Linked DNA regions of Drosophila melanogaster. The protein of the gene in region 3 purifies or fractionates together with the protein of the main gene of each other region. This does not show direct contact. Each region holds a gene or a part of one and is shown on either strand. Other genes may lie near its edges.

Evidence for each region.
Region 1: the proteins of Fkbp59 (region 3) and Prx6c purify together in Drosophila melanogaster (affinity purification with mass spectrometry, with the first as the bait; one large-scale study listed by BioGRID). This does not show direct contact.
Region 2: the proteins of Fkbp59 (region 3) and fabp purify together in Drosophila melanogaster (affinity purification with mass spectrometry, with the first as the bait; one large-scale study listed by BioGRID). This does not show direct contact.
Region 4: the proteins of Fkbp59 (region 3) and CG30496 purify together in Drosophila melanogaster (affinity purification with mass spectrometry, with the first as the bait; one large-scale study listed by BioGRID). This does not show direct contact.

What each region holds. Positions count from the first base shown.
Region 1 is NT_033778.4:10,417,049-10,420,275, reverse strand, and holds Prx6c (peroxiredoxin 6c), read right to left. Parts: upstream 1,559-3,227; 5' UTR 1,472-1,558; coding exon 1,389-1,471; intron 1,327-1,388; coding exon 952-1,326; intron 889-951; coding exon 813-888; intron 750-812; coding exon 621-749; 3' UTR 515-620; downstream 1-514.
Region 2 is NT_033777.3:11,561,050-11,568,695, forward strand, and holds the start of fabp (fatty acid binding protein), read right to left. Parts: upstream 6,006-7,646; 5' UTR 5,939-6,005; coding exon 5,869-5,938; intron 4,063-5,868; exon of another isoform or gene 3,766-4,062; coding exon of another isoform or gene 3,735-3,765; intron 3,663-3,734; coding exon 3,391-3,662; intron 3,323-3,390; coding exon of another isoform or gene 3,272-3,322; exon of another isoform or gene 3,009-3,271; intron 2,244-3,008; exon of another isoform or gene 2,051-2,243; intron 1,248-2,050; exon of another isoform or gene 1,152-1,247; intron 157-1,151; coding exon 25-156; coding exon of another isoform or gene 1-24. Other genes in the region: sea (scheggia), read right to left, coding at 1-128.
Region 3 is NT_033779.5:9,886,421-9,890,641, forward strand, and holds Fkbp59 (FK506-binding protein 59kD), read left to right. Parts: upstream 1-1,584; 5' UTR 1,585-1,722; coding exon 1,723-1,918; intron 1,919-1,983; coding exon 1,984-2,126; intron 2,127-2,246; coding exon 2,247-2,367; intron 2,368-2,426; coding exon 2,427-2,565; intron 2,566-2,627; coding exon 2,628-2,985; intron 2,986-3,039; coding exon 3,040-3,150; intron 3,151-3,211; coding exon 3,212-3,349; intron 3,350-3,456; coding exon 3,457-3,570; 3' UTR 3,571-3,699; downstream 3,700-4,221. Other genes in the region: CG34183 (uncharacterized protein), read right to left, coding at 3,710-3,902, 3,966-4,063, 4,122-4,221. UniProt on the Drosophila melanogaster protein: May have a role in phototransduction; inhibits or prevents Ca(2+) induced stimulation of the trpl ion channel.
Region 4 is NT_033778.4:7,697,571-7,702,378, reverse strand, and holds CG30496 (uncharacterized protein), read right to left. Parts: upstream 2,880-4,808; 5' UTR 2,738-2,879; coding exon 830-2,737; 3' UTR 501-829; downstream 1-500. Other genes in the region: Coq9 (coenzyme Q9), read right to left, coding at 1-435, 2,992-3,052; LRR (Leucine-rich repeat), read left to right, coding at 4,233-4,269.

The DNA.
Region 1 (3,227 bases), on a different chromosome or scaffold from region 3:
GAGAAAGTTCAACATATGTATAATAAAATGAATAAATTTCAAAGGCGTTCATGCAGACGGACAGCTCAGCCTCGACTCGGATATTGATCATGATCAAGAATTTATATACTTCATATGGTCGATAAGGCATCATTTTATTTGTTTTATGCTTTTTAAGAAATCCCAGTATATCCTTTTACTCTACGACTAATGGTTTTAAAAACTGATGCATTCCGAATAAGAACACTACGATTTTGATAAAATAAAAAACCAAATAATTTGTCAAAAAAGGTACACCATCTCATTTTCACTATTATTCCATCGTATATATTATACAGTTTTGACTTATTTACCAACTGCAATAGAAATACATCAATAGATTAAAATCACTATACCATCCGCAAGGAAATAAAAAACAGACATTATACAATCTAAAAGAACGTCAAAATCGCAGTAACTCCCCTAATTCTGATTGGATTACATTATTCTCCAAAAATTTCTTTCATTAAATCAATTAAAATAGTTTGGATATTTTGTTAAAATAATTTTTTATTAAATAAATGAACTGCACATAGTATATAGTATATGTCAGGAAATACGGCACATTATTGAATGGATCACAAATGGGGAACGGTTTTGTGTCAGTAGTTGTCAGTGGTGCGGACGTAGTTTACTCCAGACGGCATGGATACCTTATCAAATCCCTTGGGGAAGAGTTTATGAGCCTCTTCATCGGTGACAGTGGGCAGGATCATGACCTTAGTGCCAGGCTGTTTATGAAACAGAATTAATTAGTTCGGAACAGTTCGCATTAAGTGGGTAGAAAAACTTACGGTCCAGTTGGCGGGAGTGGCCACCACCTTGAGGCGATCAGTCAGCTGGAGGGAGTCAATGGTCCTCAGAATCTCGCTGTAAGATTAAAGGATCGTCAGTTGAGATTAACAATAGTTGTAGCCCGAAAGAGGTACTTACTCAACGTTGCGACCAGTGGACATGGGGTAGAACATGGAGAGGCGCACCTTATGGTCCGGACTGATGATGAACAGGGCGCGGATGGTCTTGCCCACCTCGGGATCCTTCTTCTGCTCCTCGTCGAGCATGCCCAGGCTGACGGCCAGGTCGCGAGTAGGGTCGGCGATGATCGGGTAGGGGAAGTCCCCGGGAATGTCCAGGCAATAGCTCTTGATGTCGTTCACCCAGTCCACGTGCGAGTTCAATGCGTCAACGGAATGTGCCAGGCACTTGGTGTTCCGCTTGGCAAACTCCGGCTGGTGCACCGCAATCCTGCCCAGCTCAGTGGTGCAGACGGGAGTAAAGTCGGCGGGGTGAGAGAAGAGCACCACCCAGCTGGCGATCCGAAGAAGAATTGGTAAGATTCGATCAGAGAAAAAGGGTTTGATGGCACTTACGAGTTGCCCTGCCACTCGTGGAATTTAATGGGCCCCTTGGTTGTGTCGGCCTCGAAGTTAGGTACGGTCTGTCCCAAACGCATCTTGCTGTTTGATTATTAGTTTCAAAAAAACTTAGTTGCTCAACTGGTAGCTGCTTTTAGCTCGCACACTTGTTGCTTACTGAATACTGACTGGGAGAGCTGGCTGTCTTTTATACCCAACGTGATCGACGTAAATAGCGGGTGCGATAGAGATAGGAAATGGGCGCTCCCTCAACGCGCGTGTTTGTTTGTAGTATATTATTCTGTGAACAGATTATAAAACAATACTGAACAGATTGTGGAGTAGTTTGCTTTGGTGGGGGGAGTGGGAAACCTTGAGCATGGTGTCATGTGTGTGAAACTCGACAGGGGCCTCTACAAAACGTGGTACATAATTTGGACTTTGAGACGAAATGCTTCTGGAAGTATCTTAGAATAAAGTACTGTTTTCCTTATTTGGTTCTTCATTAATCTCATTTTAAAAGTCCAATAGGCGCAAACTCCTTTAGCATCTAACATCCAAACAGCTGATCTGGTCCAGCTGACAGATAAGCCGGTTCCAAACATAAACAGAGAGCCAGAGAGCATTTAAATGTTAAATGGTATTGGTAAATAGAGGCGAAGCACCAACACCTGCAAACATACAGCCACATCGATAGGCGGATATTGAGAGCAAGAGAGCGCCGAGCAGTGTGATGGTATTTGTGAGTGCCTCCAAAAATCGCACACTTCCATAGATCGCACGGCTCTCCCGTTCACGTACACAAAACGAGCCTCCAATTGAAAGTGAAGAGCGAGTGAAATCATGAGACTGTGTGCGTGGGTCTATCGAATATTAAGCACACCAGCATAGGTTTTTTTTTCAGTAAAACACACAAATAGTTCGAATGGGTTTTGGAAAGTCGGATGGGCAGATCGCTAACTCAGAAGACAGTACCCAAATGGGATTCAGATGGTTGAAATTAAAATAAAAGATATAGTCATCATGGATATTCAAAATGCAGCAAGTGTTAAATTTATTTAGAGGTGGGTTATCTTTAACAAAATTGGATTCACTTCCAATAGCTCGATCGTATTTCCTAAGTTACTAGTACATTCGTAAGAGGGTGCTAGTTATAAGGTCTAATCTAAGAATTCAGAAACCTTCGTCTCTATAATAAACGTTTTGTAGTAATTTTCCATTACTTATCAGTTTTGTGATACCGAAAATAGAATTTGTTTTAATCGTTAAAAATTTAATGACCTACTTATTAATAACAATTAATAAAATTAGTTTAAAAATATTCGATATTTTGTAACCCAGCTTATTTAAGCTCACAAATTATCTTGTTTAAAAAACAACCCTAATAATAAGAACAAAACAATAACAACAATGTAAGAAAATGTGTTTCTTTTTGACTACCTCTCTTAATTAAAACTTATGAGGATTTTCACTTATAGCCGCAAGAATTCAATTTGGCCGCGCATATCGTTGATATTAATCCTTATAAATATGTTACATTTAAAAAAACATCAGAAAGAAACCCGCCGCCAAAAGGATGTATAAAAATATTCGTTTTCGCCTGAAAGTATGCCCCAGCAGACGATTTTGCTTACCAGCTTGATGCATTAACAAAATGGCTTACAAATGTAAGTCAACCAATATTTTGGCTGAGAGTCTCAACTTGAGACTGATATTAGTGTTCCAAAAGCTATTCTATTTTCGCATCGGTGACTGTAGGAAGAGCTTTTGCGCCTGAAAGCTAACGCTTGAAGTCAGCTTCCGAACAGCTGATTTTGATAAGCACCGCAATCGCCCACGCCGCATGTTTTCCTT
Region 2 (7,646 bases), on a different chromosome or scaffold from region 3:
GTAATACCGCCGGCGACGATGCCCTTAAGGCCCACCTGGCCGCTGTCCGCAGCCGCCGCTCCGTGCTCCGTCATCCACGGACGTCGGCGGTACGGGCTGACAAGGGACGCGAAGGCGGAGCGATCCATGCTGACTGGGTGTTAGGTGGGGAATTAGCTGAAAGAAAATAGTAGAATTCATTTATTGTACTGAGTGAATTCCAGCTGATTTCTGTCCGATTGAATGTTATTTATATCCTATTGTTGTAAATGGATCAAAATAGACTCGTTCTGCGTGGGTGCGCGGATTTCAAAATATTCCCCAAAACTTGTATGAAAATATGGCATTTGTTCTTCATAGATAATGATATCTGAAGTATTCCTTATCATCTATTTAAACAATTTAACTATATCTGTGACGTACAATCGTGAACCGCGTATCTATGCGAATATCGACCTTAATTATCGTATTAAATGTTTGTTTAATTGCAGTTCTGCTCTACTAGTTATGCAATTTCTATGAGGAAAAGAATTCCACTTGGCTGGAATGGCTCCAGCGGGCTCCAATTTAAAGTTAGTAATCAATGCCATTATCATAGGTAACTTCCCATTGTATCGTTGACTCTCTTTTCCCCCAAAACATATTCATTTCACCTTGGGGACAAGGTTCGAAAACTGTGAACGAAGAGTCGACAAACTAACACAAACAGAGCGAAAAACCAAATGTTCGAAAATCTCAATAGTGATTACTTAAGATCGGGTGATATAGTCTGGGACGGTTTGAGTGGGAGCGGTACTATATCAATATCAGCAGGCTCGTTGGTTGTTTCGCTCTTTGCACTTGACAAATTAATATTGTTTCAGTGCGATTACATAACTTTTGCATGACCATAAATTATAATCGCACACAGTTGCAAGTTCATAATTATTCATTTTATGCCGCTGTTTAAGCCAATTTCCGTATCGGTCTGGAAATCTGGATAAACATAAACAATACCCACTGATAAGTCGGCACTGGAAAGTTTCTACCGACTTCCACACACACACACAGACTTCAAAAGCGGTTGATTAAGCCCACACCCACACACTCAAAGCGCACTGCTGTCTGGCAAAAGTCGCGCTTAATTTTTGCTCATGCAGCTTTGCTATCGGGTATTGTTCTCTACTACTCACATTAGAATTCAAAAAACCGAAATAATTATAATTTTGGAAAGCCCAGGCAGCGGTGAAGTGAAGTGGCGATGGGGACAGCGGTTGAATCTCAACTGATCGGGGCTACGAAAAAATTCCATTTTCCAATCGACGAGCGAAAGCGATACAGTGCATCCCGGAACTAACGGACTTTGGATTTTCAGATCCAACAGTCAGCAGTCCGAACAACTCTATCCCAATAGATTTAAAATGGTAGATTCTTCTAAATATCAAACTTTTTGTAAAATAAATTGAATCGATAGACTGAGCACGCTATTCTCTATAGTTCACTGCATCAGGGGCGCACTGTAATTCCAATGGTCGGCGTTTTGTAAACAACAGCACTTCAGCGGTATCCACTCTCCCCGCGCTCAGTAATGTACACAGTAAAATATTTCTATTTTGAAAATCAATCAGAAATTGAAAATAAAAGAAATGATACGTGGATCTATCTAGTAAACGATCCTAAACGAGTAACATACACATACATCAGTTCGATCCTAATAATGGAATATTAAGTTTCTAAAGATTGATTCCACATTGATAAAGGTATTTTGATAGCTATATAAGTGCGTTTCGATTACTTTATGGAGAACTTTTTTCTGTGCAGAGAGTGCGAAGAGTAGCGCCAAAGTAACGTTTTTTTGCTGACACCGCAGTGAAGATCTCTCTTTCTCTCTCTAATCGGAAACCCGTTTGTCCAGCAACAACAAAGTGGACAGAGCTTTTGGGGCGGACTGGAAAAGCTCCGCTGAAGAACAACAAGAAGAACATTTGACTTTAAATTTTGAATGTTAGGTACGCCGCAAAGTAGACCAACATTTTTTCTTTAGCGATTACACAATGAGTTCACACACACACAATGCGCGTAGCCTACGCACACCCACGCGGTAGTTTTATCCAGGTTATCAGAGCATTTAGTGCTACACTAATAAAATCGATAACGGCGCTTTTGCTTTTTAATTTATAACGCCCAATTGACCAACAATTAAGTGTCTACTATTTACCGACTGACGCAACTCGGCGTCATGCGGATACACGTAGTTCTAACGCCGCCGGCAAACGACGAATGTTAACAAAAAAAACCCGGCGAAAGTGTGGCCGTGCTGCCAACTGTCCGCTGATAACGTGTGCGCTTGCGCCAGCCCCCAAATGCAGCAGATGCCACCCACCCACACTTGTGGCACGCACTTGCAACAGACCCCATTCACACGAACAGTGCAAAAGCCCCAGCAGCATTGTGTTTTATACTCAATTAGCAAGAGCAAATGCATCGCAACGGAAACGGAAACGCGTGGGCAGAACATCCGCAGCCCAAAAGCAAATCAGAGACCATTCAGACTTGTGCCTCTTCTCTTTATACATACAACTTCAATAAACGATACAATAAGAAACGATAGTAAGAAACATGCTTTCTATAACCCCAAAGGTGGAATTTCTTTTAACAGTTTGAAATTTGAAACTTTATAATTCATATCGATTCAAAAATATGACCTCCAATTGAAAATGTAATTGAATTTGGTATTCTCGATCCCTTTAGCCATTGAAAATATGACACCCTACGAATTTCGGGATCCTTAACGATAACTTTCAAGCCAAACTAAAATATCTGGCATTGTTCGCCTCACAAACAAGCCACTTAAAAATTCTTTTTTAGGTAGGAACTAAAATTATTTCGATGAAAACACGTTACTTGCTTACTCACAAAACCGTAAATTTGGGAAATAGTTGGAAAAATGCCAAAATATAAATTTATAACTAAAACTAATATAATTTTGATTGCTGTGTCTAAGCTTACATTTCGTCATTAACCTAAGCAACAACAAGCTTAAAAGCGAAGTGTAAAAGAAAGTCGGAATGTTTTAAAAGCACTTCAAGTAATAGTTTATTCAAATGCATTCGGAAATTGGTCCCCGAGTACGAGGAGTATTCCCACATACACCGACTGCGGGTGTACGGGTGCGATTATAAATTAACATTGGGCAGAGCGTGCAGTTCCATTTGATTTGGTTTAGTTCACTGTTAGTCAACAAGAATATTGGCTATCTGAGTTAGTTTTAATGCATGTAGTCGTATGGATATTATAGTTTTAGATCAGTCTCTTAGACGGCCTTGTAGACGCGCACGCACTTAACGTTGCCGATGGTGAGGGTCTGTGGGGGAGGCATTGGATCAGTTAGGTGGGTGTGATGATATACGGCAAGGTATAGTAAGCGCTTACGGTGATCAGCTCGTTGTCGGTGAACTCGCGGACGATGGTGGTGGGCTTGTCGCCCTTCTGCTCCTGCGTCAGCTTGTTGCCATCCAGGGTGATGATGCTCTTGACGTTGCGACCGTCCAGGGTCTCCTCGTCGAACTCAACGCCCAGCTTGAAGCTGATGGCAGAGGTCTTGAAGGTGGAGGTGGTAGTCAGGGTGTAGGTATCGCCCTCCAAGGTCACCTCCACTGTGGGGCTCAGGCTGTTGCCCATCTTGCGCGTCACCAGACCGACGCCTGCAAGTGGAAAGGGAAAAGAAATTAATGAAGTTCCATCTCACGAGAATGTAAGGAAATCAAAGATCGCACCGAAAGATGAATGATGGGGCAGACTGCACATAATTGAATTAGCCCAACAAAGTTGGGGACCCCAAAGCGCTCACAATGCAAATCATATCATATTTAATTAAAAATAATAAAGCCGAGCCATGAAGTTCCCTGCAGATTCCGTTCCGCTGTAACGTCAAAAGTCGTGCTCAAGGTTAACGAACAATGCGGGCCGTCGTCTCCTCCCTCATCCTCATCTCCGCTCTTATCAATTGGCAAGCCCCTCCATGCATTTAAATATAGATCTGGCAAAGCACCACCTTATCTCGGTGCAGCATTCCATATATACATATGTTGTTTGAGGGCAGAACTGTGAATATAAATGCCATTCAAGCAGTGTAAATATATATTTTACTGGCTTAAGTGGTCAAGATCCATTTTGCTGACGTTCCAAATCGTAAACCTTTGAAGTGCTGATAATTACCATCGAAAGATAAGCAAAGCAATTCCATCATTAAATGATAACTTAACGATTGTGAACAATCAATCGTGTTTAAGTACTAAAATTTGTCACTTAATTTTATGGGACTTGTAATTACTGAAATACTATATGCATGCACGTAGCTGTATGAGTAATTTTGCATTTATATTTTTATTTGAAAGAAGTTTCGCCAAATGAAACGTTGAATCAAAAACAAAGTGTGAATCACTGGTACCTTACGAATGTGCCAGCAAATAGGGCACATGTATTATTTCCAATCTAGTACATTGTCAGACATCAAACCAACAAGTGGTCCAATCAATTATGTTCAATTATGTATGGACCACCACCAACTTGTTCTTTTGTCCAGTGCCCTCAAGTCAAGTGTCAACTGGCGTGGCGCGATAAGTCGCCAGGTTCCCACTCATGGGAACCCAGCAACTGTACCAGAGATCGATTTATATGCATCGTATATGACAGGAGAACCTTGAATAGATTAGACTGGCCTGCAATTGCGAACCGTGGTCTATGATAGGGGTGGCTGCCCAAAGTGCAAAATCCGTAATCGCGCCTAATTATCGTGCCTTTTGCGACATTGTATATACTACAAATGTGTGTACATAAATAGGCATATAGTTTATCGCATTTATATATGTACGACAACTGATAAGTGCTGCGAGGCCCCAACGGCAGGTTGATTTTAGATTTGTTTGGGCTTGAAAATTGAGAAGTACGTGGCTTTCGGACCAAGTCTACCATTAAACCGAAGCCGCAAAGTGTGTAGGCGAAAAGTTCTGACGAACTGGTGGTCTGGTAAATAAATCTGGACGCCCGTCTCTGGTTACCAAATGCCACTAGTCCCTATGGCGCGTCTAGACAGGAAGCGATGGTATTGATCAGTTTTAGTGGCACCATATAGTATAATCACGATTGCAATAGAAATTGCACTTTGATCGGTAAGAGAGTCGAATGTGTCCTATATGTAGTTTATATCTGGTGTTTCATTGTTGTCTAAATTGACAGCCGGGCAAAGATCATCGCAGCTATAAAGCTTGTAGTCTAGTGCAAAGTTCACTGCGAGACTTTCTCCCAAAATCTAGTACACAAATAGATAAAACCTGTCGCAAAAGCTAATGGCACTATGATGATTTCGGTCCCATGGAAAGCTGACGGAGGTGACTCAAAAAAGGGGAGCAAAGTTCAGGCCCCACACTTAATTAGTTTTTGGGTTTATGACTACCGCAGATAACCATTTACGGATTTTATACTGCTTGTCCTCCGATTCGCAACTGTAAAGTTGAGAAAGAGGGTGAGGTGAATAACTGGAGCACGTTTTTATTGCTGCAGATGTGCATCTCTTTCTCTGGTCCTATTCTCTATTGATTTTATCTGACACACACATACGCACATCAGCAGATTCAATGAGGTGTCAATTTATGCATGTAGCTAAACTATTTTAACAGTCGAATTCATTCATAATCTTCAGTTGATATAACATTTTCCGGAAGACATTTACTTTTTTCCCTCTCGTTTGGCCAATGAAACTTTTTGCACACTAGTGCGAAAAATGCCGGCCGGTCGATTTTCGGTGGCGTGTTTTCGGCTTCTTTTCTCTCCCTCCACTCCCGCTCTCGCTCTCTCGAGCACTTTGGTTTTCTATTTTTGATGCACTGCGAATTAGTTTTGGCAACTTACCCAGCTCCTTCATGTACTCATCGAAGTTCTCGGACTTGTCCAGCTTGTACTTCTTGCCAACGAAAGACATTTTTGGAATATTTGGTCTGTGTTCTGCACAAGATGTTCACTGTTGAAATTTTCTGAGCGAATGAAAAGCTCTGCGGCGTGCCGGCTGTTATATACTTTCGCGTTGCGGCTACGGCATTGCCAGATGCAAGTTAATGGCCTCTCGCTCTCATTTGATTCGCTCTCGTTCTGCGGCACGGCTTTTGCACGTTTCCTTTTTGTTTGTCTCACAAATTAAAAATTTAATGATGTGGCATCGGCTGAGCATCGGATTACCAGATGCAAAGCCAAGTACAGCCGCCAAGGTATCGAAATGTCGGCGCCAAGCCGTTGGCGCTCTTACAAAAAGCAGCTTTTTTAGGCGCTCTCCAAAAAAAATATTAACGGTTCTATGGGGGCCACCACTCCCCCTCACACCGCATATTGGTAATGGATCGGACGTGTTACTGCCACCCAACGTCTGACCAGCTCCTCCTGCTCCTCCCAGCACCCAAGCACCTTCACCTTGGCGCGATCAATTGGCTGCAGCCTTAATTGGTTCAAAAGCACCGGCCTAATAACGAACGCCACATTGTCATGCTGACAATGGAACTGCAATGTATCTCGCATTATACAGTCAAAACTTGCCTATTTTGGCGCGAACTTTAAACTTTTCTCCGAATTTCAGATTACGCATTGGGAAACCCAATGTGTGCAAGTAAGGAAGGGGAATTTATTTGAAACCCAGACTATCTCACTTTGTAGTACAAAATTATTATTAATATAATATCAAGATTTAAAATTTTAACATACATACACACGTATATTTTATTTAAAAGGATATCCGTTATCCAGGTTTCTGAGTCTCGACTGTTCGCCCCCCATATATTCCGAATTAGTAGACTTTTTTCTGTGGGTCAGTGGCACCATTAAAAGAATCTCCCGAGCTTCTACATTTTACCAATGTGTATAAATAATTTTCGACACAATTCGTTTATATTATTGTTATGAATAACTCTTGATAAGTCGCCGGTGAATTGTAATCTAATCGAGGACTTCCTTCCACCCATGGTCAGGCAATGCAATATTGAGATTACCCACGATCTCCATAAGCCTGCCCATCCCGTGGGAGGGCCCACCTACATGGATACCGACTTGTTTGTTGCTAAGCGTTATCTTATTAATTCAATTAGTCCATGATCCCGCACCCCCCTCACCGATCATCCTTATTATTGCATTGATCGTCATAAATAAAAGAGATTACGGGGGTTTGCCACGAAACATACTTATGTACATAATATGTACTACATATATTATTTATGTATACCAATAATAAGTAACGTCTTGATCAATACAAAATATGATATACTCTCAGTATATCTTTATATATATACTTCTTAATGTGTATTATTTACTGGAGTGGAAGAGCCAGTCGAGCTTTTTTAGTTTCGCCAGTGACTTGAATTTGACCGACGAGATGTGGGCCCTCCAGGTCAGTCCCCGATTTAGATGAACTCCTAGGTAGCAGTGCGATGTGACATTGTTTCCATCAAAAGTCAGATCTGTGCAAGTTCCGGGCCGCAGGGTAAAAGTTACACAGGCTGACTTCGAGGAGTTAATGGCCACATTCCATTTGGCAGTCCATTTTTCGACTGCATGCAGCCATTCCTGGACTGCGTTGAAGAAACATGCATTTAGTCATTCGGAAACTTTAAAGCCCGAAAGTATGCAGCACAAAATCGTAATATCAA
Region 3 (4,221 bases):
TGAAAGCTGCCCTGGAATGTTTACAGTCGAGTAACGAGCGAGCAACAGCAGGACCTCTGCCAGCGGAGACGCCAACAGCAGCCGAGGCAGCGTGATTGTGGGCGTCCGTCGCTGGTCAATGTCTCTATACTATACCTGAAAAAATAATGGGCCTGGACAGGGACACGGCTCGGAGCACTCAAAAAAAAATATATATGCTGCTTTCGAGGGAGTCACTAGAATCTCTGGAGATCTGGAGATTCGCATATGCTGACATACTTTAAGCCCAAAAGAAGTACGACTATTGCATACCGAAGCGAAAGTCTAAGCCCTGTGGCACCATTTATAATAGCATCTTAATGGACTTCTAAACGTTTCAGTTGACACTTCTCACAATTAAGTTAATAATCTTTTTTATTATACAATAATATAAGTTTCTAATACATCTAACGTATACTTAATAATATTGCGTATACGTCATTCATATATAAGCCCTTTAGTTAGTTTGATTGTGTATTATTTGATTACTTTTGTTCAATTTATTTCTTAACTATGTATATGTATTTATTAAATAAACTACGTTTTTTTTGAAGGAATATTGTAATATACAATATTTTTCCAGCGTAGTCATCCCTGTAGACGAACCCTAATTAATGAGCGACAAGTGCGCGCCCAGACTCTGGGCTTTTATGAAGTTGGTGCCGAAGCTCGAAGATGAAACGCTGCTGGATGACTGGCTAATATTTTAGTAGGCGGAGGAGACAGCGACAGCTGCAGCGATTTATAAAGACACAGGCGGAATTCCAAGGAAATAATGTCACAGCTGGCTGGTAGGAAGAAGAATGAATCCAGCAACATGAGCACACTTATCATTTTTATCATTCCAGTTGACCTTGAAAAAATCGTTGAATGCCCATTGCGATAATCCCCCAAATTGGCCTACTGTGCGGGAGAGCTTATAGCAGACGAGCTTACGAGCATGAATTATAGAAACCAATAAAATTAAGTGCATTAATTTATTTCTGTTGCTCTTGCGCTGGCATACGAAATTGGAAGTTGGCACTGCCAAAAGCCAAGGGCAAAATAATCAAATATAACAAAAACGATAACAGGATTATATTTGATGCATACACTTATAGGGATGCACATGCAATCATAAAGCCGCTGGGCAGATTACATTTGGAGAGCACTGTGTGTGTGTGTGTGTTGTTGTTGTAGCCGCCAACACAATGAAATGAACAACAGACATCCTTTAATATCATTAATTGCGGCCGAAATGGATTAATCAAGAAAATGACTTGTAATTGTACCAAATAGACAATGAACGGTATATGCATTTTAGCTAATATTATTCATAGTGCCGAACTTAATATATAACAAAATTATTCCTATTAGCTTGTTCGTCATTTTGAAACATATGCGAACTAAATAAAGTTTGTATTTCTAATAGCATTTCTCAAGTTTTTATCGTTAATTAGCTCAAGAAATTTCAATATTCTAGCTAATAAACCATTTTAATAGGTATGTGATACGGTTCGAGTCCGAGCTAGTTATCTGTGTTTTGTACCCACTGCCTTAACTGTCCTAATACTATAGATGGCGCTTTAGTTAGCACTGACTGTTAACTCAGTTCTGTTAAGCGACTGAAAAACGCACGAGCCCAATAATCAATACGGTCTTTCCAACGTGCTTGAGCTTGGTCACTCTGCCATCATCGTGCGAATTAAAGTTCAGCAGCCAAAAATGCCGGAAGGGAATAAAATCGACTTGTCCGGGGACGGTGGCGTCCTAAAGGAGATCCTGAAAGAGGGCACGGGCACAGAGACGCCGCACAGCGGATGCACTGTGTCCCTGCACTATACGGGTCGCCTGGTCGATGGCACGGAATTCGATTCCAGCCTCAGTCGCAATGAGCCCTTCGAATTTTCGCTCGGCAAAGGTGAGTGTGTCGCCGGCAAATTCGCGAAACTTCTATTTAATGTACTTGCCACCGGACACCTGCAGGCAATGTGATCAAGGCCTTCGACATGGGAGTTGCCACCATGAAGCTCGGCGAGCGCTGCTTCCTAACATGTGCTCCAAACTACGCTTACGGAGCTGCCGGCAGCCCGCCAGCCATTCCGCCGGATGCTACTCTGATTTTTGAGGTAGGAAATGAAATTTTATTGGTTAACTAAATATGGAAAATTCCAGATTTTATGCGTTTCTTAAGAATTTTACATATAGATGAGTAACTCCTAACTAACCGTTAAAACTCTTCCTCTTAGCTGGAGATGCTCGGCTGGAAGGGCGAGGATTTGAGTCCCAACCAGGACGGAAGTATTGACCGCACCATTTTGGAAGCCAGCGATAAAAAGCGCACTCCCAGCGATGGCGCCTTTGTCAAGGGTAGGTTTATCACATTCATGCGGTGACTATGTATATCTTATGCGGTTATTCAAATACAGCTCACATTTCTGGTAGTTTCGAGGGCCGCGTGTTTGAGGATCGCGATGTGGAGTTTGATTATGGCGAGGGTAAGGCCATCGGCATTATCGATGGTGTCGAAATTGCCCTGGAGAAGATGAACGTAGGCGAGACCTCCAGGTAAGATAGATCCCTTTGAGCATTAGAAGCTTTTCAGACTAACTTATAAACGCGCGTAATAGAATCAAGATCCAGGCCAAGTATGCATTTGGAGCAAAGGGCAATGAGGAGTTTAAGATTCCACCAAATGCCACAGTGGAGTACACAGTAAAGCTCGTCGACTGCGGCAAGGGACTGGAGGAGTGGAAACTGAGCGACGAGGAGCGCCTGGCTGAGGCCAAGGTGTACAAGGAGAAGGGCACCAACTACTTTAAGAAGGAGAACTGGGCTCTAGCCATTAAGATGTACACCAAGTGCAAGAACATTTTGCCCACCACTGTCCATACCAATGAGGAGGTGAAGAAGATTAAGGTGGCCACGCACAGCAACATTGCTCTGTGCCACCAAAAGTCCAACGATCACTTCGAAGCCAAGCAGGAGGTGAGTACATGCGCTCAAATCGGATAATTTATACATTTGACTATTTTATATTAGTGTAATGAGGTTTTGGCTTTGGATAAGAACAATGTAAAGGCTCTCTACCGTCGTGGCCAATGCAACTTGACTATCAATGAGCTGGAAGATGCACTAGAGGACTTCCAAAAGGTAACCAAGATAAACGTATATTTATTGAGTTAATACAATGTATTGCTATTTATTCGATTAGGTCATCCAATTGGAGCCTGGCAACAAAGCGGCTGCCAACCAAGTGATCATCTGCAAGCAGAAACTCAAAGAGAGCAAGAACAAGGAGAAGAAACTCTATGCCAACATGTTCACCAAACTGGCTGCCAACGACAAAGAGGTATTGCCTACAACTGAATAAATTCAAATAAAGTACAACATTTCTATATCGTTCCTCCGCGTGTTTTCTGCGTTCCTTGAAATCACCAATTTTTCACCGATTGTTAGACCGAACCTCCGCGGGAAACTGACGTGCTGAGCAAGTGCGGAGAGTGGTCTGAAGAGGATGCCAAGCGCGAAGCAGAATTGACGCTGGAGCGCGACAATATAATCATGATCTAATTCAGATCGACTAGTGCTTTAAGAAATATTCCCTAGGGTTTATAATCCCACATCGAAAATCCAGTAATGTAATGAAGAAATGGTCTTAATGCTTATACGAAATAAATATAAACGCTTTGAGAGCTATGTATATCGATGGTCAAGTATTTCGTGGTAGCAGCTGAAAGCTGGGTCTCGTCTCCCTATCTCGCAGCCACAATGGCGATGTGGGCACCTGTGACTTAATATATTCGGAGGCCTTAAAACAGTATCCGGAACAGAATTTCTTGCGTTCTGTGATGTCGTATACTTTGTTTTTGGAAGCGGAGATACTGTACTTTTGCTTGGGAACGCTAAAAGAGTAGTTATAAAGGATAATTATTGGAAGAACCTCTAGATTCTGTTGGAACACTTACTTTTCTAGAACTGTCGAACAAAGTGGATATCCGCAAAGTTTGTTTATTTCCCGCTCATCCACTATGTCTGAATAATTTGGGGGGCCAATCTCACAGAGCTGCGTGTACAGGAAATGCTTAGTCTACCCGTCAAGCTTTTAATTTGCATTATTTTACCAGGGACAGGAACTCGGGCTCCGGTATTCCGGGCTCCAAAAGCCGCACCACGATTTCATGGGCTCTCGCAATCGCCGCTCGTTTCTTTACCACCGCCGCT
Region 4 (4,808 bases), on a different chromosome or scaffold from region 3:
GGGCGTTGCACTTGCCGTTGAAGTGGGAGACCAGCGCGAAGCCACCCTCGGGAAACATGCCGTGCACCACGCTAGGATAGCCACTTTCCTCGGCACCCAGAATGATGGCCTGGCGGGTCCAGCCCTGCTGGGGCACATGCTGCAATGCAGCGTCCAGGATCTTTGCCCTTATGGCATCCACCTTGGCTTGCTTGGCGTCATCTTCTGGGCCTGTAGACTCTGATCCTTTTGCACCCAGTCCACCACCTCCGCCTGCTTCTTTTTGTGATGCCTTTTCGGCAGCTTGATCGGCCGCATCCCGCTCCCTTTCGCGCTGCTCCTCGCGGGCTCTAAAGTCTTCTAGATTGGCTTTCTTCTCATCCTTTCCATAACTCCTTGCTATTAAAAATGTCAATGGTCTCGGCTGCAGTGGAGCCAAACGGGAGCTAGTCGCATCTGCAAGAAGGCGAGCCTTTGTAGTAACACCATTTAAGGTTTGAAAAAGCGAGTTTTGTTTTTTTGCCTAGCTAATTCATATATTTGAAATACAAAAACATATTTAAAATGGCTATAAAAATTAGAAAAACGCTGCCAGCTTAGGTGTTAAGTACGCACACCTATGTGTACCTATTTGTGTGCAACTAGATTTCAGTGCGCAGATCGCAATGCAAAGCCCGCATCGCTGGCCAGTTAGTTAGCACACCACAACTGGCTCAATTAGTCGGTTAATTATCGCCCCAGCCAAGAACCCACAGACCACATAGATCAGTTTAAGTTTCGATTTCGTTTTCGGTTCTGTTTACACACAGTTTACGTTATCATTTCGCTTTCATTGTGGACAAACTACAAGCTAAGCATCTGATGGATTGGCAACCCGTCGCAGGCGAGCGGACTGTTCGATGATCTCTCTGGCGCGCAGATATAAAGATTGTAGCGTTTCCAAGCTGGTAATGGAACTGGCCAGCACATCGAGCTTCTCCTGCCGTCCAATGTCGGGCAGCTTGCTCTCCGCGTCGCCGCCAGCCATTCCGCTATTGCTTATGTTGACGGCGAGCATGTTGAGTTGGCGCTGCATTAGTTCATCATCCGAAGCACTCTGACCCTTTTCGACGCGCTCCTTGTACGCCTTGTAATGGGCCATCGAAAAGTTAAGCGCTGTTCCCAGTGGGTCCAGCAATTCCTTTTCAATTTCCGGCAGAGCCTGCCAGAAGCCAGTCACATCATTCTTGTCTCTTGCCGCAAAGTAGCGTAGGATATTCAGAGCATGACACAGGCGATCGGAGTGCAGAAGAAGATCGGATTTCACGTCATGGGGCAGCACACAGACGCAGAGCAGCAACATCTCGCGGAAGAGCTTTCCGCTATAAACTTCCGGCATGGGACCAGATTGCCCTAGCGCCTTGTCAACAAGGTCCTTGTACATCCCTCCGAGGTAGCCCATTAGTCCGCCGTGCTGCAATGTCCCCATCAGATTTTTAAGGATGAGATACTTTCCATGATCATCGAAGGCCAGAACAAATTGCCTGAGCACATGAATTCCCAACTGCCGAAGTGCGACCTGCGGCGAATAGCCCACAATCTTGCAAAGGGCTTCGCAAAAGCGCTTGTGGACATCCAGCTGGAGGGAGCTGGTGGGAACTGAGTGCTGCAAGGTACTCAAATGATGTTCCACTAATCGAAGACCACAATATTGTAGGGGAGGCTCCTGCTGCCTGAGTAGCACTTCAGCCAGATAGACAATCGTTTCGAATAGGAATAAAGGTGCATATACCTTTGGTGCGTTTGTGGGCAGTTGGTTACCCACGAACAGCGAGTGATAGTACATGGCTACAGCATGCAGCGGAAGTTTCTCCTCGATGAGGAAAACATTCTGGCAACTCATCTCGTAGACGCCTCTCGAGGCATCTAGTTTCCTTAGCCATCTGGCACGCTGTTCCACGAGGTTGAGCAGGTAGAAGGGATCCCCCAGGAACTGGTTGGCATCCTGAGTCAGGCTTTCCGTAACCTGCTGCACGTAGGATCTCGTAAGGTCCTCCTTGGCGTGATTCATCTCCAGCAGGGCCAACGGACGTCCCAACAGCTGAATGAAGAAGCAAGTGAATATGTTGCGCCGGTTGACGCCGCAATCCCTGAATATTTGGCTGGGTGTCCGCACATCCTGCTGCAGAATTTCATCGCGGAGCGGCTCCCGAAAGAGTCCCACGGTGATGTAGTGAGCCAGAAGGTCCTCCACCTGTTCGTTTTGCTCTATGAGTCGCGCTTGGGCCTCGTCATAGCCCTCGGAGAGGTATTCGGGCAGGGGCAAATCCTTGAGATGGGTGAAGATGCTATTCAGGCTCCACTCAACGGCCTGCGGCTTGTCGCGTCCCTGTCGCTGCAGCACAACTTGTAGGGCCCGCAGATAGGCGCCGAACACATTGATACTGCTACTCTCTTCCAAGCGCTCCATCAGTTCCAGCATAAGCTCATGCAGTGGGGCGTACTTGGCCAGCAGCTTGAGCAGCTCGTCAGAGCAGTCGAATAGTTCTGGCTCCTGGGAGTTCACCTCGTCGGAAATGTTTTCCAAGCACACGTCATGGTATAGATCCATGGCTATGTGGGGCAGCAGCCGAGTGTTCTTTTCCGATTCCTGGGCACTTTGAAACAACATCCGCACGCCATCGTAAGCTTTTTCCAGCAGCAGCTGCTTGATGAGCCGCAGCAAATTCGACGCCTTTGCCGGGTCCCCCACTTCCACCTCCATCTCCTGCTCCTGCATTTTATTTATTTGCTTTAATTTTTCACTGGTATTTCACAATTTTATTGAAAATAGTCGAAAAATCTAAGGCCGCCGGCATTTGACAGTCAGCAGTTCCCTTTACTAGCTCTCTCTCTCTCTCTCTCCCCCCTTTCTTTCGCACGCACGCACAACTCGATCGAACAGCTGATTGTCGGTTGCGGACTCTCTTTCGTAATGAGCACACGCGGTGAATTCGCGGCTAACAGGTGAATTGGGGAGTTCACACTACTTACTGAGCGGCAGCAGGAGCTTCTGCAGACGAATAAGCTTGTATAAACAGCGCACGTTTGCCATTTAAGCGGCTTGAAGTCGTTGAGGCAATTGAAATCGGTTTGTTTGGCATTCACCAGGAAGCCACTTACGTTGTGTTGGAAAGCGGCGTAATCCATTGCTGCTGTAGTATTTTTGGTGGTTTTGTTTACTGTAGTGATTTGGTATATCTTCAGTGCTTAACAGCTTACCTTCATATTCCGACTTTTAACTATAAAAGCTAACTCTAATATCCCATAATTCCAAACAAACTGTATGAGAAAATGCGAAACACTAAAGAAGTCGTAATCGATTAAAATGTTAAATATGAATTCTAGACATTTCACAAGCTTAAATTTAGCTAGAAAATAGCAGAGCTCGCAGCATTGCTGTTAACTGCGAATGCGTAAAACGGCTGATGTAAACGCCAGCGAAGTTAGAAATATGGTCCTCTCCCAACTCTGGTCACACTGAGTCGAAACTGAAACTGAAACTGGCTGGGTGTGCGGATCGTGAATTTATTAATTTGTTGGCCATTTTCGCAAACTAACTTAACTCGCCGGATTTAGTTAGTCATAAATTAAAGGCACTCCGGTCCGAACAGTACTTCGCTCAGGAATTGCTATCTAGGCTGCCGTTAACAAAAAACCAAAATGCCGAAGGCGAAGTGAAAAAAAACGCGAATATACACAAATATGCTGGTGAACTCGGAGCAAAAGTTCTAAATTCACGAATAACACAAGAAGATTTAAGCCCAAGTGCCGGAGGAAAAGCCAACTGCTGTCTGTGCGGCGGCGACTCAGTGAATTTTCCGTTTTCCGACTCCGCGACGAGGGTGGAAACGCGTGAAAAACCGAAACGAAAGTCCTGCTCGTGTGTGCAAATAATGTGAATAAGAATAAGAAAAGCCTGGAAAAACAAGGAGTTGGTCAAAAAATAAATTAAGGCAGTCGAAACGAAAATATGGGCAAACAGGCGCAATGTCCGATGTGCGGTTTTTAGTGCGGGAGCAGCTCAAGAATCCAGTTTCGGGCTGCAAGGCGTGTCAGGATTGAAATTGAACCACCACCAACACACCAACAACAGCAGCAGTAGCAGCAGCAACAACAACAGCGAAAACAGCCGCTTTAGAGCCAATTTTGTTGGCCCTTTTTTCCTGGTCATTCCTGTTTGACTTCATTTTCACCAAACTTTCGCCGCAGAATTTCGCATATCACAAGACAAAATGTCGACGCGCTCGCAATTAACCAAGGACCTCAACGGTGAGTAATGCTCTTGCTCTCTCTCTTCCTCTCCCCTGGCTCCCTGCTCTCTGCGGCCGCCCCCCCTGCGCCAACCCACCGCCCACCCCTCATCATCGTTCTTTGTTTTGGAAAACGCATGAACAAAAACAAATGCAGATGCATCCCCTCCGCAGCGACGACGTTTTGTTTTCGCTCTTCACTCTTCTGTTTGGGCCGCCGGCTTCCGTTTTCTTAGATGCGACACCCCCAACACACACACCAAACACCCGCACACACGCTCACAAACACTGCGACATTGCCACCCACCAACCCCCCGGGGAAATCCCAACCACTCACAGTTTTCGAAGCACTGATTCGTTAACTTTAACACTCATATTTAAAAATAATACGTGAGTTATTTGATAATCCAAAAAGACTATTTTTTTAATTTAAATAAAATAATAAATAAATAATTAATACATTTTCTAAACTCATTTTTGTGTGCTCATGCAAGAAAGTTCGTAGGTAGATTCCGTGCTAGTTAATTGAGCTGAAAGGCAACGCAAAGTCAGAAAGTG